Rattus norvegicus: one gene and its partner. The protein of the gene in region 2 interacts with the protein of the main gene of each other region in a biochemical or structural test. Links are inferred from orthologs where the notes say so. Each region holds a gene or a part of one and is shown on either strand. Other genes may lie near its edges. The genes, in order: Cd72 and Sema4d.

Region 1 (9,816 bases), on a different chromosome or scaffold from region 2:
GAAATTAAAAAGAAGCCACCTGCCTGCCCAGGACCTCAGGACCTCCTCCAACTGGAGGCTTCCTGAACTTCTCTTTTGGGCAAACCACTTATTAGAATCCTCAGCTGGAGTTATTCCGTCTATATCCCTGGGAACAGTGCTGGCCTGCCAACACAGGATCCCCTAACTACACATGGAGTAGCCTAAAGCAAGAGCTAGTGTAACAGAAGAATGTCTGATTGTATTTAAATGTATTGGATGACATAGCTGCACATAGTCCTACCTTGGGAGACAGGGCAGCCTAGTATATAAATGGGAACCTTAGAGCACAGACTCACCCATCTGTTCTTTGTGAGCCTCCTGAGTGTCAACTCTCTCAGGAGTGGCAGACATAGAATACAGACTGAAGCCCCTTCTCTTTCCCCTATGTCCCAGTATATGAATGGGGGTACCCTGGAACAGCTGCTGAGCTCCCCAGAACCCCTCTCCTGGCCAGTCAGGCTCCACCTAGCACTGGACATTGCACAAGGCCTACGGTACCTACACGCCAAAGGTGTGTTTCACCGAGACCTCACATCCAAGGTAGGCTGGCCAAGGTGGGTGGAACGATGAAAGAGGATTTGGAGCTGTTAAGTTGTAATTGGCCTGTGGATGTTGGCATGTGGGTAGAAGATATGTTAGAATGTCGGGGTGCCAAGGCATTGGAAAGAACGGGGACAGCAGGAGGGCTGAGGAACTGAGTATCACACTGACTGCTGAGTGATACTGCAATGATGAGGTGCCTTGGAGAACCGGGAGGGAAGGTTGGAGTAGTGCTTAGTGCTGTGGTGACACGGGGCTTTGGGGTCTATACTAGAGGACCAGAGAGCAGGGGATGGGTGTGTGAGGATGCTTGTGTGTGTGTGTCAGAACTGTCTGGTCCGACGGGAAGACGGAGGCTTCACAGCTGTTGTGGGTGACTTCGGACTGGCTGAAAAGATCCCTGTGTATAGGTAAGATGGCCACCCTTCTTACCCGGAGCCTCCCAGGGTTGCCCTACGCCAGTGGTGCTTTCTGTGGGTGGAGAGGAGGCTTACCCCATCCCCTTTCGTCTGGGGATGTCTGAATAGAAGATTCTGACCACCCTGCCTCTGCAGGGAAGGGGCAAGGAAGGAGCCATTGGCTGTGGTGGGCTCCCCATACTGGATGGCCCCAGAGGTATTGCGGGGAGAGCTGTATGATGAGAAGGTAAGAGCCTCAAGCCCCCCAGAGACCTTGAGAGCCCCCATCCAACAGCTCTGTTATATATGTGGAGCCCCCGGCCTTGCCCCTTACCCCTCACTGCCACCCTTCCAACCCAAGATAAGTGCTGACTCCTCCCCCTTGGCATGGCCCACTTCCCTCCAGGCCGACGTCTTCGCCTTTGGGATTGTCCTCTGTGAGCTCATCGCCCGAGTACCTGCAGACCCTGACTACCTACCCCGTACTGAGGTGAAGTAACCTCCACTGTATGTGCCTCAACCAAGAAGGGCTCTGTGGGGTCGATTCTCACAGTGGGGCACAAGGAGAGCCCACTGAAGGCTAACTTGGCAGCCCCTCCTCTGTCCCCACAGGACTTTGGTCTGGATGTGCCTGCTTTTCGAACTCTGGTGGGAAATGACTGTCCGCTACCTTTCCTGCTTCTGGCCATCCACTGCTGCAGCGTAAGTGTTACCCCTGCCCTGCCCCTAACCATGAGTTGTCTTCTATGTCTGGGGAGATAGTGGAGGAAACTCACCATCTTCTGAGCCCTGAGCAAAGCTGTCTTTATCCATCAGATGGAACCCAGCGCCCGTGCCCCTTTTACTGAAATTACCCAGCACCTGGAACAAATCCTGGAGCAGCTGCCTGAGCCCACGCCCCTCGCCAAGATGCCCCTTGCCAAGGCTCCCTTGACATACAATCAGGGTACGTGAGCATGACCTTGACCCAGCAGAAGTCCTTCTGCCTCTCCTGAGAATCAGTTATCTGGAGGAGGCTAATTGGATCTATGAGTTAAAAGGTAGGCAGTCAGGTGGGAGGGTGGAGAGGCATCTCATAGAAGATGGGTTTTTATTGCTAGAGCCCAAGGAAGCAGAAAAGGGCGGTAGAAAGGTAGCTGGAGGGGCTGGTGAAATGGCTCAACAGGTTCAGTCATTTGCATAAGGACCTGAGATCCATCACTGGGATCTACATCATGGAAGCTAAAAACTAACACCTGAAAGTTGTCCTCTGACCTCTGACCTCAGTTGACAACTTCAGTGTCCTGTGGTTCATACAGACTAAACAAGGTAGCGGGAAATAACAGTCATCCCTTCCAGAGCACCTGTAGGCTTCCCTTTCTTAAGCTCATGTCCCACCACCTTCCTGGGGATCGAGGGCCTCAGCTCTGCACAGATGCTGAGGACAGTGATCTCACACCTCTCTTTCCACAGGGTCTGTTCCAAGAGGAGGTCCCTCTGCCACGCTTCCCAGGTCAGACCCCCGGCTCTCCCGAAGCCGGTCAGACCTCTTCCTGCCACCTTCACCAGAATCACCCCCCAGTTGGGGGGACAATCTAACACGAGTCAACCCCTTCTCACTGCGGGAAGACCTCAGGGGTGGCAAGATCAAACTTCTGGACACACCCTGCAAGCCGGCCACTCCACTGCCCCTGGTGCCACCATCACCACTGACCTCTACCCAGCTGCCCTTGGTGGCCTCTCCAGAGTCCCTGGTCCAGCCTGAGACTCCCGTCCGCCGCTGTCGTTCACTCCCTTCATCCCCTGAGCTCCCCCGACGGATGGAAACTGCACTGCCAGGTCCTGGCCCGTCCCCCGTGGGCCCCTCGACTGAGGAAAGGATGGACTGTGAGGGCAGCAGCCCTGAGCCAGAGCCCCCAGGGCCGGCTCCCCAGCTGCCTCTGGCTGTGGCCACTGACAACTTCATCAGTACGTGTTCCTCAGCCTCTCAGCCCTGGTCTGCTAGACCAGGACCTTCCCTCAATAATAACCCCCCTGCTGTGGTGGTGAATTCCCCACAAGGATGGGCGAGGGAGCCCTGGAACCGGGCACAGCATAGCCTTCCCCGGGCAGCAGCCCTGGAGCGGACAGAACCCTCACCACCCCCATCAGCTCCCCGGGAGCAGGAGGAGGGGCTTCCCTGCCCTGGCTGCTGCCTCAGCCCCTTCAGCTTTGGCTTCCTATCCATGTGCCCCCGCCCTACCCCAGCTGTTGCCCGCTACCGCAACTTGAACTGTGAGGCGGGCAGTCTTCTCTGCCACCGAGGGCATCATGCCAAGCCACCCACACCCAGCCTGCAGCTGCCTGGGGCACGCTCTTAGCAGTGAGGCCTGTGATCTCAGGCTTCCAACCTTGGCCTTCGGGATACCCTGTAAGGACAGAGTGCACTTGCTGGACAATGCCAGCCCCAGATGGGCTGACTGGCTCTTCTCCCCGTATAGGGGAGCCTCAGCATGGTCTCAATGGACAGAGCACTTCCTGTCCAACCCCTGGGATCACTGGACTAGACACAGCATTGCTGACACACAAGACTAACACGTGCAAATTATTTAAAAATATTTCAATAAAACTGCCTGGCTGGCTCCGGGCCATCCATCCACTCAGCGGAGCGCCCTCCCCTGACCCATCTCTAGTTCGGGAAGTTCTTAAGGAAGGTCAAAGTCTTTTCTGGAGGCTTCTTTACTCTTCCCAAGAATAGTTTCTGGAGCAGCTTTCAAGCAAGCAGCAGGTCGCCAGACCAGAATCAGCCCTTAGCTGGGCGTGCCCAAGAGTGAGGGAGTGCTGGAGGAATAGCAGTCTTGAGAATTGGCAGGCCATAGGTTAAGGATGTAGGTCACAAGGTCTTGTTGAAGTGTCTGGAAAAATAAAGCACCAGTGAGCTCCAGTTGACTTCATTAGCCCTCATCCTATTTCTCCCCAGCTCCTCTCTGTTCCCTGCCTCGCCTGGCCCTGTGTAAGCAGACAGCCACTGGAGGTGGGGGATGAGACAAACGAGGGGACAAAGTCCTCTGGGCCTCTGTCCACACACCCATGCCTCATCTCCCTCATGCTTACCCATTTCAGTTCAGATGGATCCCATCAGGAAACCTGAGCGCCTCCAGCTCACAAATGCAGGGGAAAAGGTCTGTACACGTGTATGAGCTTTCATACCACCATGAATGGTAACATTTTATCAGGTAACATGAGCTTTGAGAATGAGAATCGGACCTGTGAAGAGTTGGGATATACTTTAGAGTCTGCAAGTCCCTCCTTTCCCTTGCTCTTTGTAAAACCTAGTCCAAAGCCTATGACCTGCTAGGGCCACATGGTTCAGGAACAGGTTTCTGAACTTCAGCTCCACAGGCCTTAAGGCCACAGAGGAAAACTCACCCAAGTCTTTTTTTTTTTTTTTTAAAGATTTATTTATTTATTATATATAAGTACACTGTAACTGTCTTCAGATACACCAGAAGAGGGCATCGGATCTCTTTACAGATGGTTGTGAGCCACCATGTGGTTGCTGGGAATTGAACTCATGACCTCTGGAAGAGCAGTCGGGTGCTCTTAACCACTGAGCCATCTCTCCAGCCCTCACCCAAGTCTTAAAAGAGGAAAGCTGCACGTAAGGAGTTGGGTGTGACTTCGTGCACCTTTACAGCACCCAGGAGTCACAGACCTCAAACCCCATGGAACATGAAGTAGCGCCCTGCTTTGGGGTCCCTGGAGCAAAACTGCAGCTACTCTGCCCTCTCCTGAGACCGGTCTAGTGCCCCAGTTGGCATGGACTAAGCAAGCTGTCTGTTTGGGCAGCCTGTCAAGGCTTAGGTCAATGCCAGCACTCCTCTGCCTGAGAAGCCTTGCTGAAATCGCTTCTCAGCCTAATTTGTTTTTAGAGATGTGGGAAGGGGTCTTGCTGTGTAGCCCAGACTGGCCTTAACTCACAATCCTACCTCAGCCTCCTGAGTGCTAGGGTTACAGGAAAATGCCATTGTAATGTAAGTATGCACTAGAGACCTCCAGGCACTATGGATGGAGTATGGAGTAAGGTGCACGTCAGTGAGATGACTTAGCAGGTGAGCACCACAGCCTGGGAGCAGTCCCCGAGACCCACACAGTAGGAGAGAACTGCCCCCCACAGCCGTCCTCTGCCTGCCCTGTGGCACCCCTCCACCAACACGTTTTGTTTTTAATATCTTAAACAAGTTAATATGTTAATCAAGTAAAAGAAACAAGAAACCACAATACCGATTTGTGGGGGAGTTTTGGGAGCAGGACTTAAGGAAGTAATATGCCTTTATAAGAAACTGAGTTGACAGGGGTTGGGGATTTAGCTCAGTGGTAGAGCGCTTGCCTAGCAAGCGCAAGGCTCTGAGTTCGGTCCCCAGATCCAAAAAAAAAAAAAAAGAAAAAAGAAAAAAAAAAAAACTGAGATGACAATACCTCCTCCCCTTCATGTTCTTCATGTTTTGTGGATAATATACAGTATGGCTCATCTGCTCAATCCAATATGACTTTGAACGATCTAGCAACTTCTTTAAGCCATCAGGCAGAGAATCCTAGGGGGTTCAGAGGGGTAAGAGAACAATGAGAATACAGAGTAAAGTGGGGGCACCCTAGGGGCCTATGAATTTCACTTAGCAAGAGGCCACGCCCACTTAGTACATGAATTAATTAATTGCTCCTGCATCTATCCTTCCAGTGTTACCAGACACAGGCTCACTCTCCATCTCCCCTCCAAGCAGGGAAGTGGAGTCAGCCTGTGAACTTCCGGTCTCAGATGAGTGTCAGGGGGTTGGCACTCGGCCTGAGAGGAGTCAATGAGGAATTAAGCAGGCAAGGGGCAGGCCAGCAAGCCAAGACAGACTGAAGTGGAGATGGCTCAGACATGTCAGCTCTCACGGATGCTAAACAATAGGAGCCATGGGATATCACGGGAGTGAGAATGCCCAACTATTGCCACACTTACTGGCTAATAGTGTGACTTCCATATCTGTCTTGGGGAAGCAATGTAAACCATGGCTTGTGTGCAGATGTGCACTGCCATTCCTGACTTGATAGCACACATCTCTTTACATACCTCCACCTCAAAATATAGATAAGGTCATGCTCACTTGTAGGGAATACCTAGGAGGTTCGTTGAGCACAGCCAGTTTGGAGGACAGAGATGTGCAGTATTTTCGGCTCTCCTCCAGACTTCTGGGGGTATTTGAGATGTAAAAGCACCTTTTCTCATGCTGAACCCATCCACTTGGACAGCAGGTGTCTACAAAGCAGAAAGAATATGACAGCCACAACTCTTGGGGTAAATTGACTAATTGGCCAGCTGATTGACCCTAAGGGTCTGCTCTCAATGTCGGTTTTGTCAGCTTTAGTCCTTGATCTTTGCGATCTTTTTGCCTCTTCTGAAAACATTTTACTCCTTAATAACATGGGAAGAATTTCCTAGTGGAGTTAGTACACTGTCCCTGGGTTCTGAAACATTAAAATCTGCCCTAAACTTGCCAACCTTGCCTAGCTCCCACACTGATCAATGGGCTTCTCATTCATTCATTCACTCACTCATTCATTCCATTTAATCCCTAACACATTCAGAGGTTGCCACACTCCTCCAGCCTGTGGCCACATCTCTCTCCACAACTCTGTAAGCAGACAAACTTGGTTCCTGCTTTTCTAAAAATTATGAATATTCTCCATTTCCACTTCTCTACTTAAAAATGCTGATCTCTGTTCTTTTCCGGATTACCTGTAAGAAATGAATCCTTCTTTAACATCCAACGCCCCACTCTGCTCTTGATCACAAACGACTCTTATCAGACCTAGCCAACATTCAGAAATCATTCCCTGTCCACCGCCGGACTCTCTCTCTGTCTCTCACACATGCTATCTCTCTTCCTGTCTTCCTGTCTCTATCCTTCTCTCTTCTCCCTCTCTCCTCTCCTCTCTTTTCTTCCTCTCTCTCTCTCTCTCTCCCCTACATTTTCTTATGTCTCCATCCAGCTTCTCCCATTTTTCTGTGCTGTGGCAACTTAAAGGAATTTTTTTTTTTAGTTGGGTGTGACTGATTTGAAGAGAGTGAGAGATAAACATATCTAAAGGTAGGCAGAGCCTTGAGAACCATGTCAATGAGAGAGAAAGAAAGCGAGAGAGCAGAGACAGAGAGACAGAGAGATATAGCCTAGGCTGGGCTCAATTTCCTCATCCTCCTGCCTGAGCTTCTTAAATGCTGAAGTTACGTGTCACCATGTCTGTCTCAAGATTTTATTGTTCTATTAAGAGGAAGAGAACAATACTGTTGACTTTCACATCAAGGAATTGTGTGCTCTCTCTCCATACCTGTGTCTGGGCACACGCTCGAGTGTATTTATGCCCCATTACTGCTTGGATAACTAATAAGAATGCCATGGCCTCAACAGGGACAGCATGATCAGATTTGTGGTTTTGAAGGATTTGCCCATAACTAGGGTTGGATCAGTGGTTAGAGCACTTGGCACACAAGCATGAGGACCAAACTTAAGATCCCAGCACCTGAGTGTGGTGACTTGAATGAGAATGGCCCTCATAGGCTCATCTATTTGAATGCTTGCACCCCAATTGATACAACTGTTTGGGAAGGACTAGTGACTGTGGCCTTGTGGAAGGAGGTGGGGCCAGACTAGGCTTGAGGTTTAAAAGACTCCTGCTACCCTCAGTGAGTTCTCTCTGTCTCCTGCTTGTGGATCAAGATGGGAACTCTCAGCTGTTCCTGGTGCCTTGGCTCTACCATCAGACTCTAACACTCCGAAAACACAAGCTAATTAAAGATTTTCTTCTACAAGTTGCCTTGGTCTTGGTGTTTTGTCACAGCAATAGAAAAGTAACTAAGACACCAAGTGAATGCCAAGTGAGTAGAAGGTGGGGTCAAAGAATCCTCACAGAAAGCTGGCTATAGGGCTGGAGAGATGGCTCAGTGGTTAAGAGCACTGACTGCTCTTCCAGAGGTCCTGAGTTCAAATCCCAGCAACCACATGGTGGCTCACAACCATCTGTAATGGGATCTGATGACCTCTTCTGGTGTGTCTGAAGACAGCTACAGGGTACTTATATATAATTAATAAATTAAATCTTTAAAAAAATAAAAGAAAGAAAGAAAGCTGGCTATAGCCATATTGATGAGCTCTGGGTTTGAATAAGATACCCTGCTTCAGTGAAGAGTCTCTTCATCGACTTGTGCATGCACAAACATGTGAGTGTAACACACACTTACATGCACAGAGGGGTTGGGGGAGGGGAGAGGCACACATTTACACATGTGCACGCAGACTGGTGTCTGTAATTTGGCTATCTTAAGCTTGGCAGAAGCACTAGATACCCCAAGTCAGAAAGATTTGGACAATGTGAAGTGAGTCACTGGAGACGGCTTCCTCTTCTCTTCCCACTCATGATCTGCCATAGAGCTGGGGGCACCCCCTAAATCCAGTGTGCAGCTTGGTCCTCATCAGTAACTGAGTTCACATAGCCCAGCTCTGTATGGCTGGACAAACCCAGCCACCAGAGACTCCTAGATTCAGTCTATGTCTCACAGCCACCAGCCCCTGTCTCCCTGATCCCAGAGCAGGTACCTGACGAACAGGAGGACAAGCGTCTCAGAGTGTCCCGCGTGTTCCTCAAACTCTGGTCCAGGTCCTGCCTCCGCTGCTCCTCAGTTTTCAAGCTCTCCTTGGTCCTCTGACTCTCAGCCTGGCAGTCCTGTAGTTGCTGCTTAGTGACCTCATACATCTTCTGCTTCTCCTGAAATGTGTCCTGCGTCGAGTTCAGCTCTCTCCGAGACTCCCGAAGATCCTCCACCTTCTGCTTCAGCTGTCTTTTCTCCTCCCTGAGCTGCTGCTGCAAGCTGCTGTTGGTGGCTTCCCAAATCCTGCTCACCTGCTCGAACTGCTGAGACACCTGCAGATCTGTTCGGGTACAGACTGGTTGGGTACAGCACCGCACACCCGTATCCCAATCCAGGGAAGGCTGAGATAGCAAAGTCGAGGCCAGCCTGGGCTACATATGGAGACCCTTGTTGGGGGTGAAGCTTGTTACAGGGAGCCTTGAGGACACGTCCTCCAGCTGTACCCCGGTGCTCTAAGACTTCAGCATCAACCTTTTCTTCTTTTTGAAACTTCTTGTATAATGTCCTGAACTTAAGATCTGGCTGCCTGGAGTTTAAGGAATCCTGAACTGGATAAGGATAATTTAGGGAACACTCCAGGGTAGTCCCAGCTGGAAACCCAAAAGTCAGGGATGTCGGGACAGTGCCTTAGAGCCTTGCTAAGGAAAAGCCACTTGGCGGGAGAAAAGGAATGGTGTTTAGAATGAGTGAGGAATGGGGGCCCCCATACTCACAGCGAACTCCCAGGCAGATGATAGCCACCCCTAACATCAGACAGGCGAGGAGAAGGCCAAGCAAGGAGTATTGCAAACAGACTGTGGGACCTTAGGGGACAGGGATGATGGGCAGTCAGTCCCAGGGAAGAATGCATAGACAGTGAGACAACGGGGAGAAAAAAGAAACGGTCCTAAGCAGATTTTGACCGGCAGGAGTAAGTACTAGGGACTGCAACTGGCGAAAAGGATTGAGGGGACCTTACCTGACTGAAGAAACTAAATTTCATACAGGGAAGGGACCTGGAGGCACATGACTAGAGACCATCCGAACAGGGGAATTGTGATCTAGGACTCCATGTAGGAACAATCGCTCCCGAGATGAGGTAGGTAGTGGAGTGGCTGGGCTCACGTGGAAGTCCCAAAGGCTCATCTGGCACAGGGCAGAACCCAGCCCCACCGCTCCGGGACCCACGTGGGTACACAGATAGCGTCTGATATCGCGGTCGGTGCCCTG
Region 2 (10,889 bases):
TGGGAAGGAACCCTTTGGAATTGCCCGAGGCCCACACCAGAGTAGCTGTCTCGCTCACTGCTAACAGACAGCATTGTTTAAATCTGGTACTGTCGTACCCCAGTCTACCCCATCCCCACCCCCAAAAGTACAGTTTGGGAGCCTTTAATAAAACGAGGCTGTGATGGGAAGTGGAGAATGTAGATACCGAGTCTGGGGTGTGATCTTAGATGTGGAGCCTCCGGGGTCTGGTCAGGAGGTGTTGAAATGTTTCTTTACTGCCAAACAAGATCTTCAGTCTGACTTCAGGGTGTAGATGATGGGGGCCTTTTGTCGGGTGTCTTTTCATGGGGATGCTGGCCAGTGATACTGGGCATTTTTTTTTTTTGAAGCCCTTTGATGTGGAGTCAGACCCTGGGGTCTGAGATATGAGACAGCCAGTTTCTCCTTGGGGCTCCCCAGGAGTCATAATCTCGGCATCCTTCCAGTGGCTGACACTGGCCGGTTTGTCCCTTGTTTAAATCAGCAGATACTCTGGTTTCCCAGACCACTCGCCAGCAGGGAGGCCTCACCTGGCTTTCTCTGTGGCTACCTTGGTGAAGCTGAGAAGGGTGGCAGGCATCATCTGGGCCTGGAGTTCCCGTGTGACACGCACTCTATAGATGTCCTAGAAGGGAAGCCGCCAGGTGCTAAGGCTGCGCTTGCTAGCCTGTGGTACCATGGGGAGCAGGTAGAGGGGTGGCACGGTGGCTCCGTGTACAGAAACGATCCTGATGCCACTCCACAGAGCCTAGCTTCGTCTTTGCTGACGTGATCCACAAGAGCCCAGATGGTACAGAGGCTGAGGATGACAAGGTCTACTTCTTCTTTACGGAGGTGTCCGTGGAGTACGAGTTCGTCTTCAAGTTGATGATCCCGCGAGTTGCCAGGGTGTGCAAGGTGGGTGCTGCCTCCCCTGTCCCCACTCACACTCCTGCCGTGGATGCTGCCTCTCCAAGACTCCTCCCTCTGGAATCGCAGCCTTATCCTATGGGTAGAGACCCCGGTGGTAAAGTTTCATGGATAGTTGAGGCACAGTAAGAGACTCAACAGTGACAAGTGATAAAAGATAAGAGATTTGTGTGAACGGTTTCTCTTGACTCCCGGAGTAGGATCGGGAAGATGGCTTAGTGGTTAAAGTGCTCGCCACGAAAGCAAGAGGAACAGAGTTCAAATCTCCAGAACCTATAGATGCTGAGTGAACCCCCTGTAATTCTGACTTAGAAAAGTGGAGATAGGGTCTCACTGGAGCCAACCTGCTAGTGGGACTCTCCTCGTTGGCAAGCTCTGAGTTTGACTGTGAGACTTTGCCTCAAAGAATAAGGTGGATGGGACCTGACATCAACTTCTGGCCTCCATACCCACTGAGACACGAACACTCATGTAGAAGTGCACCATACACACACACACACACACACACACACACACACACACACACATACACACACACACACAAAAGGAAGGAAACTCAAAGGGGAAAAAAGAACCAAGGTGAGCATTTGTGGTATTTTCAGTATGACTAGTCACAGGGTAACTGAAATTGCAGGAAACCAAGACCACTCACACGGGAGCTGGCTTATTTCTTTCCAGCTCACGGTTGGGTGCAGTTGGTAATTGTTTCCGTTGTCTCCGTTGTCGACTCACTGAAAAGACTCAGGGCTCTAGAGCTTTGTCTGGAATCAAGGAGGCAGAGAGGGCAGGAAAGGAGCTCTTAGTGGACACTCAGATGTTTGCCCAGAATGGTCTGTAGGGCTGAGGTCTGTGGTGGGAACGAGGCCACCCATCATATGCTTATCTCCCGTGTGCTCCTCCCTGGGTCACAGCTGGGAAGGCTGCAGGAGCCAAAGCCAGTGGCACGCTGGGGTGACACAGATGTGGTTGTTTTGGTTGTCACTGAATGTGCCTGGCTCTTTTCTCGTTCTGTGACCCTGGCCCACATGGAAGTTTGCTTTGGTGACATGGCTTGTCTGCAGCAGTCTTGGGCTGGGCTGGTGGCTGGGGACATATGGACGCCTGCTTCTGTGGTTGGCCATCTGTGCTGCCTCTACTGTGTACTGTCTCTGGAATTCCAGGGCGACCAGGGCGGCCTGCGGACTTTGCAAAAAAAGTGGACCTCCTTCCTAAAGGCCAGACTGATCTGCTCCAGGCCAGACAGTGGCCTGGTCTTCAACATTCTTCAAGATGTGTTTGTGCTGAGGGCCCCGGGCCTCAAGGAACCTGTGTTCTATGCGGTCTTCACCCCACAGCTGTGAGTTAGCTCCCTTGGCACTTGGGGCCTGTTCACGCCGATGACCCCCTGCCCTCCTGACGCGCTCACGAATTCCCCTCCACAGGAACAACGTGGGTCTGTCAGCGGTCTGTGCCTACACGCTGTCCACGGTGGAGGCCGTCTTCTCCCGAGGAAAGTACATGCAGAGTGCCACAGTGGAGCAGTCTCACACCAAGTGGGTACGCTACAATGGCCCAGTGCCCACTCCCCGGCCTGGAGCGGTAAGCAGGGTGTCAGGATCTGGGGAGGGCTCATCTTTTCTCTGGATCTCAAGGCCCCACGCATGAAACCACACAGGTCCCAGAGCCTCCTAGCAGCAGGTTGCATGGCAACAGGAATCTGGGCGCCGGGCTGAGTGGCTGTTGGGCCTAGGGTGAAGAGTGAAGCTATTCTTTTCTCATTTCTTCTGTGTTGGGTAACAGGTCTCACTGCCTGCTGCCCGGACGAGAAAGCGTACCACCGGGCTCTTTTGAGAAACGGGCATTGCACAATGGCCGGCTTGCTTCATTTTCTGTTTCCCGCAGAGAAAACCTGTTTGTCAGCATAGCCTAGGCCGTCTCCTGAGCCTGCCTGTCAGCTGGATAATAGGAACCATATTCTTTCCTCCTAGAGACAGTAAATTTGTAAAGAAATTTCTAGGGTTGCTGAACGTTGTTGCCACACTGTGAGTGGGCATGGGGCAGGGTGGCGTTTGGATAGCACCCTGTCTGGCTCTTGAGGCTCTCCCAGGTCAGACCTCTCTGTGGGTGTCTAGCCTTGACCCCTGGTTATTCTTACCTGCGCGCTGTGTTCAATGAAACATGGAGAGAGGGGGCTGGGACAAAACAAAAAAAATCTTTCCAACCTTGTTTTCTTTCGTGCTACCTAGGTAGAATTTGGCTCTGTGTGTGTGTGTGTGTGTGTGTGTGTGTGTGTGTGTGTGTGTGTGTGTGTAAAACAATATTTAACAAGCTTCCTTTGGCACACTTTCTTCTCGAGCTCTCTTCTCACAGAAAAGCTGCTAAATGCATGCTTTTTAATTTGAGAAGTTTGCTGAGTGTTTTCATTGACTACTAATTTCCTTCACCGACCCTGAGACAAGTATGTCACGTGACTGTGATTTAAAAATACAGCTCTTTGTTTCTGGGGAAGCCACCTTCGCCCGTTAGTCTTGGGAGAAGTGTGACTGGGGCCCTTCAGGGCTCTTCTTCTGTGCTCCGTTGATGCTAAGTGGGTGTGTCTCCACGGTGCTTTTACCCCACAGTGTATCGACAGTGAGGCCCGGGCAGCCAACTACACCAGCTCCTTGAATCTCCCAGACAAAACGCTGCAGTTTGTCAAAGACCACCCTTTGATGGACGACTCGGTGACGCCAATAGACAACAGGCCGAAACTGATCAAAAAAGATGTCAACTACACCCAGATAGTGGTAGACAGGACCCAGGCCCTGGATGGGACCTTCTACGACGTCATGTTCCTCAGCACAGGTGGGTTCCCGGGTGAGATTGGGAAATTCGCTTAGTCATTTGTGGGTAAGAGCTGGTCTCTCCAGGTGCAGGAAGGCTTGTGACAGGAGAAGAAGTTTCTGAGGCATCACAGCATCTGGAATTCTGAATCTCCGTGACTATCAGGCACCTCAGGGGCTGGTTACTAATGCAGGCTCCACACCATACCTGGGCTGGAGTGGAGTTAAATAGTCCCTGTTGTCCTGGGACCAGTGGGGTGGCCTGGTATTTCCGAATTGGTAGTGGGAGACTCCACCCCTACTGAGACTCCACCCCCTTCTGAGACTCCACCCCTTTCTGAGACTCCACCCCTACTGAGACTCCACCCACTACCGAGACTCCACCCCCTTCTGAGACTGCTCCCTTCTGGGAGCCAGGGTCCGTCCCGCCCTTAACTGCCTTTGGAAGCACAAATCTCGGACAAGTCTTCTGGGATGGTGATGGAGAGCTGGAGCTTGGCAGATGCTAGAGCCCCGGGGGCTACCCTTAGAGCTTCCCAGGTGGCTTGAACACTTTGCCCTCGCTTGCCTGGCTGGGCCCTAACCTCCCCAGTGGAGTGCAACAGCCACCTTACACCGAGTGTGGCTCAGGTGTCAGGGTGTGATCCTGTTGATGAAGGTCATTGGACTCCACCATGGGACAGAGCTGTCCTCTTTTGAGTGAGCGCCCCATTGAGGGGGTGACTTTGAGCGTGAGTGGTCGCCTTCAAGGCTGGAGTCTCTGCTGGTTTCATTTCTGTTGCCGGGCAAAATTAAAACGCCCCGACAGAAGCACACCTAGGGGAAGAGGGTTTATTTGCCTTTTATGTTGGGTATCGTCTGTCATTTTGAGGGAGTCAGGGCAGGAACTTAAGCAGCGAGTCACGTCATATTTGTAGTCTAGAGCACAGAGAAATGAATGGACCCTCGTTGTCCGCTTGCTGTGTCGCTTGCTGGGATACCTCTGCCTAGCTAGCCAGCTCTCTTCACTTAACATTGTCCACGGGATGGTGCCTTCCACAGTGGGCCAGGCCTTCCCACGTCCGTCGACAATCAAGACAGTCCTCCACAGACCTTTCAGCAGACCAAACAGATCTAGGCCATTCCTCAGTGGAGGCTCTTTCCAGACGATTCCAGGTCGCACTAAGTTGTCACTTAAAACTAACCAAGGTGGCGCCCTTGGCATTTCCCTCTAGGACCTCCTTGCTCACCTGTGTTTTGACCTTGCAGACCGGGGCGCTCTGCATAAAGCTGTCATCCTTGCAAAAGAGGTACACGTGGTTGAGGAGACCCAACTCTTCCAGGACTTCGAACCGGTCCTGTCTCTGCTGCTATCATCAAAGAAGGTAATGTGGTCTGAGGGGCAGGTCCAGGCGCTTGTCTCCCTCGGGAGCTTCTCTGTGACTAGGACTAGATAGGATGGTCTCTCAAGGCTTGGCAGCCTCTGGTCTTCCTGGCCCGGGTGAGCTGACCTTTAGACTCTCAGCAGTCTTCCATGGGATCTGAGGCCTGGGAGGAGGACGGTAGAGCCAGGGAGGTTGATGTGCTAAGCCCCTAGAGCTTTTAGGAGGTCACTAACCTGGGAAAATGTCTTTGTGCCGTGAACTTGAAAGAATGCAGACTGTGCTGCTGGGACAGGACACTCATTTTTAAGGAGAAATAGCAGGTCACCCTCTAGAGCTCCCATTGCCACACCATCCTGTGTATCCAGCTGCCTTTGCAGAGGCCTCAGTCATGGTCGCTTGGCTCTGCACTGTGGCTCCCACAAAGCCATGGAAACACATAGATGACCAAACCTGCCCTTGAACCCTTGAAGCCAAGCTCTGCGTCACCTGAGGTTTTCATAAGAAGCTTCAGCCAGGTAGTGGTAGTGCACACCTTTGATCCTGGCACTCGGGAGGCAGAGACAGGTAGATCTCTGTGAGTTCAAGGCCAGCCTGGTCTTCATAGTGTGTTCCAGGCCAGCCAGAACGATGTAGGGAGACCCTGTCTTCAAACAACAACAACAACAACAGCAAATTAACTAATTAAATATTTTTTAAACCCCTGAATGGAGCACAGTGGTTCTTCATACCTATAGTTTCAGACCTTAGAACATGGAAGATCAAGAGTTCAAGGCTAGTCTTAGCCACATCACAAAATCAAGGCCAACCTGAACTAAGTGAAACCCCATTGCAAAAGTCAAGTGATACACAAAAGTCCTTTAGGTGGTGGAGTCTATAGAAAAGGCCCAGGGGCTGGGTTTGGTTCACTGGCTGGAACTTGTTTCTTATCCACTGGCCTTGGGAAGGCCTGGACACCACATTTTACGTCTAGGATAGAGCAGTGAGATTCAGAATGTGGGCTGTCTCCCAGTCCTGATTATGCTATGCTGCCATGTGACCCTGGGCGTCACTGTGTGATCCTCATAAGGTGGTCTCTCTGTGTGTAAGCTTCTCATTAATGTGACTGTGAGCATGTGAGCCTCCTGGGTGCTAAGGACGGGCTTTGAGCAGCACTGAACCCAGGGACAACTAGGAGCAGGATCAGCGGCCACCTGCCCTGCTTCATAGCTGCTGGCCAGAGGTGCTCCCCTCTCCTTGCTAGGACTGTGCTGTAACCCACTGAACAGATGGGTCCAGGGACACACTTATGGCTTCAAGTGTCTCTGATGCCTGCCTCTGGGACACTGCTGAACTCTGTGGCCTGGTGTTACCTTTCCCTGTGGACTGCACATCTGTGGGCTCCATGTCTGCTGTTCAGTTCTCTTTAGGTAGCTGGCCACGGCAGATACCCAGGGCCCATCAGTCTCACCCGTGTGCTGGCCTCCTGCCAGCGCCAGGTACGGTGCTGACCTTGGCCTAGCAACCACATGGTACGCTCCTGTCCTGGAAGTCAGAGCCTTGTATGTGCTAAGCTCTGTGTGGTTACACACGGTGGTGGGGGTGGTATGTGTGTGGAGGGAATGGCCTATTTTTGCGGCTCTGTGCTCACAAATGCAGGCAAATGGGAAATCAAACGGCAGTGTCTCTTGCTGGGTTAAGCTTGATGGCCTTCCGTTTGTTCTTTGCACGACGTTGATAGACGTGGTCACATTGGCCTGCCGGATTCAGAGATGAATGATAAGGAAGTGTCCTTAGCACAGGTACCTACTGTCTGTCACAAGACAAGGCTGGCATTTAAAGGCTCTGCCCTGTGGCTTCCAGCTGCAGTGCTGCGTCACCTACAGAGAGTCCAGGAGAGCAGTGGGGGATGTCAAATTAGGAGTGGGAAGCAGCTGAAGAGGTCTGTTACATGGGTTTTCTCAAGACACAAATGAAAGTCTCTTTACCCCAGGCAGGGCACTGAGGACAGACCAGTCCAGCTCAGCGAGCCAGTGAGTTATGGGGGAGTTAGCTACAGAGGAAGAGGGAGGGTTGATTTACAAGCCCGTGGGTGACTCAGAGGCAGCTGCATGGACAGCCTACCCCAGCATAAGTGACATTCACAAAAGCTGCAGCGAAGGAACTCCCTGCACGACTGGTAGGCAGCTCGGCAGGACAGAGCCCCGTCTCTGACAGCACTTGTGTATTGCTTATATAGCCCTGACGGAGCGGGAGCTTGTGAATCTTATTACTTGTCAGGCTTCCTAGATTTCCTTTACTGAGAGTCTTGTGAGCCTCCCTCCGCCCTCCGGGAGGACACGTTTCAGTTGGGCAGAAACAGGAACAGAGTTGTCTTTTCTCGAAAGAGAAGCTACTTCGGGAGGGACTGCAGTACGCCCCGCCACAGGTCTAGCCCCAGATATGGAAGGGTGGCATCAGATCTGCAATTCCTTGGGTGGTGTTTGAACCCTCCTGGGGTACAGGACACCCTATATTTCCATACGAGATTTCTGTCTTAGTGTGCTTTTTTTTCTGTTGCCATGATAAACCACTCTGACCAAAAGCAGCTTGGAGAGGAAAACGTCTGTTCCGGCTCAAACATCCAGGTTGTAGTCTGTCGTTGAGGGAAGCCAGGGCAGGACCAGAGACCATGGAGGAAAATGGCTTATTGGCCAGCCCTCCTGGCTTCTGCTTAGCTACTGTTTTACAAAGTCTAGGACTATCTGGGTGCCATCCCCCACAGCAGGCTGAACCCACCTACCATTACCTAGCAAATAAGAAAATGCCCCACGGACAGGTCCTGGGTTGATCTGATGTAGGCAATTCCTCAGCCGCAGTTCTCTGCCCCGCAAGCGTGTCAAGGTGACAATGAAAACTAATTTCAGGACACTGTCGTTTAGGCCAGGGAGTCTTTTCCTCCCTGCAGTACTTGAACGCAATGTCTTCCCAGTCTCGGGACTTCCCAGTGCCCATGTCCTCCTTACACCTGCCGTCTGTCTCTCATGCACAGGGGAGGAAGTTTGTCTATGCTGGCTCCAACTCAGGAGTGGTCCAAGCTCCCCTGGCCTTCTGCGGAAAGCACAGTAGCTGTGAAGACTGTGTGCTAGCACGGGACCCCTACTGCGCCTGGAGCCCAGCCATCAAGGCCTGTGTTACCTTGCACCAGGCAGAGGGCTCTAGCAGGTATGAGTATGGTTAAGACTATGTGCGTGTGCCCGGTGCACAGGCTAGAGAGTAATGTGCGCTGTCTTTTAGGGGCTGGATTCAGGACATGAGTGGCGACACGTCCTCGTGCCTGGGTGAGTGGATCTCCTTTGTTTCCGCCCTTGGGTTGGCAAAGTTCCTGGGGCGTCAGTTCCGCGGTGTCCGGTATCCCTGTACAACTCGTTTTCCTCCTCTCCAGACAGAAGTCAAGTGTCACGCAGCAGACCTGGTGGACCTGTGGTCTTTCTCTGTCCCTTTGGTTACAGAAAGAGGGCTCACAGCCACACGGGGTATATCGGTTCACGGGAAAGCATGCCCTGTCCCACACCAAGTTCTTCTGTTCCGCTTAGCGGGGCCCCGTAGACAAAACCCGAGCCTGCTAGGAATTGAGAAGGAAGGAGTCCTTGGGTATGGTTTGATAGCCCTAACCTAAAAACAGCACTCAGGAACAGTGGGGATCAGTGTCATGCTTCGAGGAGCAAAGTCTTACCCTAGAAAGTAGTATCTTGACGCTAGGGAGACGGCTCCATTGGTAGGATCTGAGTTCGATCCCCAGAACCCATGTAACAACTGGGCATTGGTGGTCCATGCTTGTGATCCCAGCCCTAACGAGGGTGAGGCAGGTGGGTCCCTGGAGCTGCTGGCCTCACACAGCCTAGTTGGCTAGACAAGTACCAGAAAAAGACAAAGTGGGGTGGAGGTGGGGAAAACTGCTACCTGAGGGTGACACTTGGTAGATTTCTGGCCTCTTTCTATATAAACACACACTTGGCATCAGATTGCTTTCAGGCTCTCTGTGTAAGGTGACACAAATGACAAAGAATTCATGTTGAGACTTCGGCCCCCTTCCAAAGATAGTCGTCTTGTTTTCTACGTGCAAATATTCCCAAACCCAAAGCGTTTCCCATCTCCCGTATTTCAGACAACAGACACAGTTGTGATTAGTTCTGGTGTCCTCTTGGGGGAGGGGGCAACCTTGCTGATGGCTAGCTGTCAGGGAATAGCTGTCCCTGGTTGCTAGCTGGCCTGCTTCATCCATTAGCAGAAGTGTTTGTCAGCTGACTGGGTGTAGGTGGGGCTGCTGAGAATGCCCAGTCCCTCAGTCTGCTGAGTTCTCTCCAGGGCCAGGGTGAGACTAGAATTTCTCTGAGCTGTCACCAGTTTGTTCACTGTGGTGGGGTTGGAGCTGCTGTAGGGTCACGGATGTCTTTACCATGGTCCTGAAGATGGCACCTGGCCTCCAGTGGGCAGACGTCTCGTGCCGCCGTCCCGTGGGTATTAACCTGTTTTTTGAAAGCAGTTGAGCGATCAGGTGGAGGTGTGTGACGGTGAGCACATTTATTTTGATGTTCCAGATAAGAGTAAAGAAAGTTTCCATCAGCATTTTTTCAAGCACGGCGGCACAGCAGAACTCAAGTGTTTCCAAAAGTCCAACCTGGCCCGGGTGGTGTGGAAGTTCCAGAACGGCGAGTTGAAGGCTGTGAGTCCCAAGTATGGCTTTGTGGGCAGGAAGCACCTGCTCATCTTTAACCTGTCAGACGGAGACAGCGGTGTGTACCAGTGCCTGTCAGAGGAAAGGGTCAGGAATAAAACGGTCTCCCAGCTGCTCGCCAAGCACATCCTGGAAGTGAAAATGGTAGCTCGGATCCCCCCATCACCTACCTCACAGACTGCTCAGACAGAAGGTAGTAGGATCACATCCAAAATGCCTGTGGCGTCTACCCAGGGGTCCTCTCCCCCTACCCCGGCTCTGTGGGCAACCTCCCCCAGGGCTGCCACCCTACCTCCCAAGTCCTCCTCCACCGGCACGTCCTGTGAACCAAAAATGGTCATCAACACGGTCCCACAGCTCCACTCGGAGAAGACAGTGTATCTCAAGTCCAGTGACAACCGCCTGCTCATGTCTCTCCTCCTCTTCCTCTTTGTCCTCTTCCTCTGCCTCTTTTCCTACAACTGCTACAAGGGCTACCTGCCCGGACAGTGCTTAAAGTTCCGCTCAGCCCTGCTGCTCGCAAAGAAAAAACCCAAGTCAGAGTTCTCTGACCTGGAGCAGAGTGTGAAGGAGACGCTGGTAGAACCTGGGAGCTTCTCGCAGCAGAACGGCGACCAGCCCAAGCCAGCCTTGGATACCGGCTATGAAACCGAGCAGGACACTATCACCAGCAAGGTCCCCACCGATCGAGAGGACTCGCAACGTATCGACGAGCTCTCCGCCAGGGACAAACCGTTTGATGTCAAGTGTGAACTCAAGTTTGCAGACTCGGATGCCGACGGGGACTGAGGCCAGTGTGTCCCAGCCCGTGCCCCTCCGTCTTCGTGGAGAGTGTTGTGTTGAACCTATTCAGTAGCCGAGTCTTGTCACTGTGCACCAGCCTCAGTCTTTTGTCCCTTTCTCTCTTGGGTTGAGCCTGTGACTTGTCCCCTTTGTCCTTTTGGGAAACAAGTATCTATTCAAGCCTCAAGTCCCGGCAGTTTTTGGAGCGCTTACTACACACCTGAGCCCTTTGTGTCCTGGGGGAGAGATGGCCACCTCCGTGGGCTGAGAAGAACCACCCCTTCCTCTTCCGCTCCTCGAAGCAGCCACTGAGAGATA

The links.
Region 1: the proteins of Sema4d (region 2) and Cd72 form a complex in vitro, tested with the Homo sapiens proteins (2 studies listed by BioGRID and IntAct). The link is inferred for Rattus norvegicus from reciprocal best matches to the Homo sapiens genes SEMA4D and CD72.

What each region holds. Positions count from the first base shown.
Region 1 is NC_086023.1:62,489,633-62,499,448, forward strand, and holds the end of Cd72 (B-cell differentiation antigen CD72), read right to left. Parts: intron 9,411-9,816; coding exon 9,321-9,410; intron 8,888-9,320; coding exon 8,555-8,887; intron 6,220-8,554; coding exon 6,068-6,219; intron 5,513-6,067; coding exon 5,397-5,512; intron 4,185-5,396; coding exon 4,037-4,184; 3' UTR 4,032-4,036; intron 3,861-4,031; exon of another isoform or gene 3,833-3,860; 3' UTR 3,523-3,832; downstream 1-3,522. Other genes in the region: Tesk1 (dual specificity testis-specific protein kinase 1), read left to right, coding at 415-561, 889-971, 1,116-1,206, 1,366-1,449, 1,572-1,661, 1,776-1,905, 2,412-3,298. UniProt on the Homo sapiens protein: Co-receptor of B cell receptor (BCR) that plays both positive and negative roles on B-cell functions. Recognizes the Sm/ribonucleoprotein (RNP) self-antigen ligand, and coligation of CD72 and BCR inhibits BCR signaling.
Region 2 is NC_086035.1:13,661,460-13,672,348, forward strand, and holds part of Sema4d (semaphorin-4D precursor), read left to right. Parts: intron 1-766; coding exon 767-918; intron 919-2,090; coding exon 2,091-2,266; intron 2,267-2,351; coding exon 2,352-2,508; intron 2,509-3,530; coding exon 3,531-3,753; intron 3,754-4,979; coding exon 4,980-5,095; intron 5,096-8,102; coding exon 8,103-8,275; intron 8,276-8,347; coding exon 8,348-8,391; intron 8,392-9,651; coding exon 9,652-10,577; 3' UTR 10,578-10,889. UniProt on the Homo sapiens protein: Cell surface receptor for PLXNB1 and PLXNB2 that plays an important role in cell-cell signaling. Regulates GABAergic synapse development. Promotes the development of inhibitory synapses in a PLXNB1-dependent manner.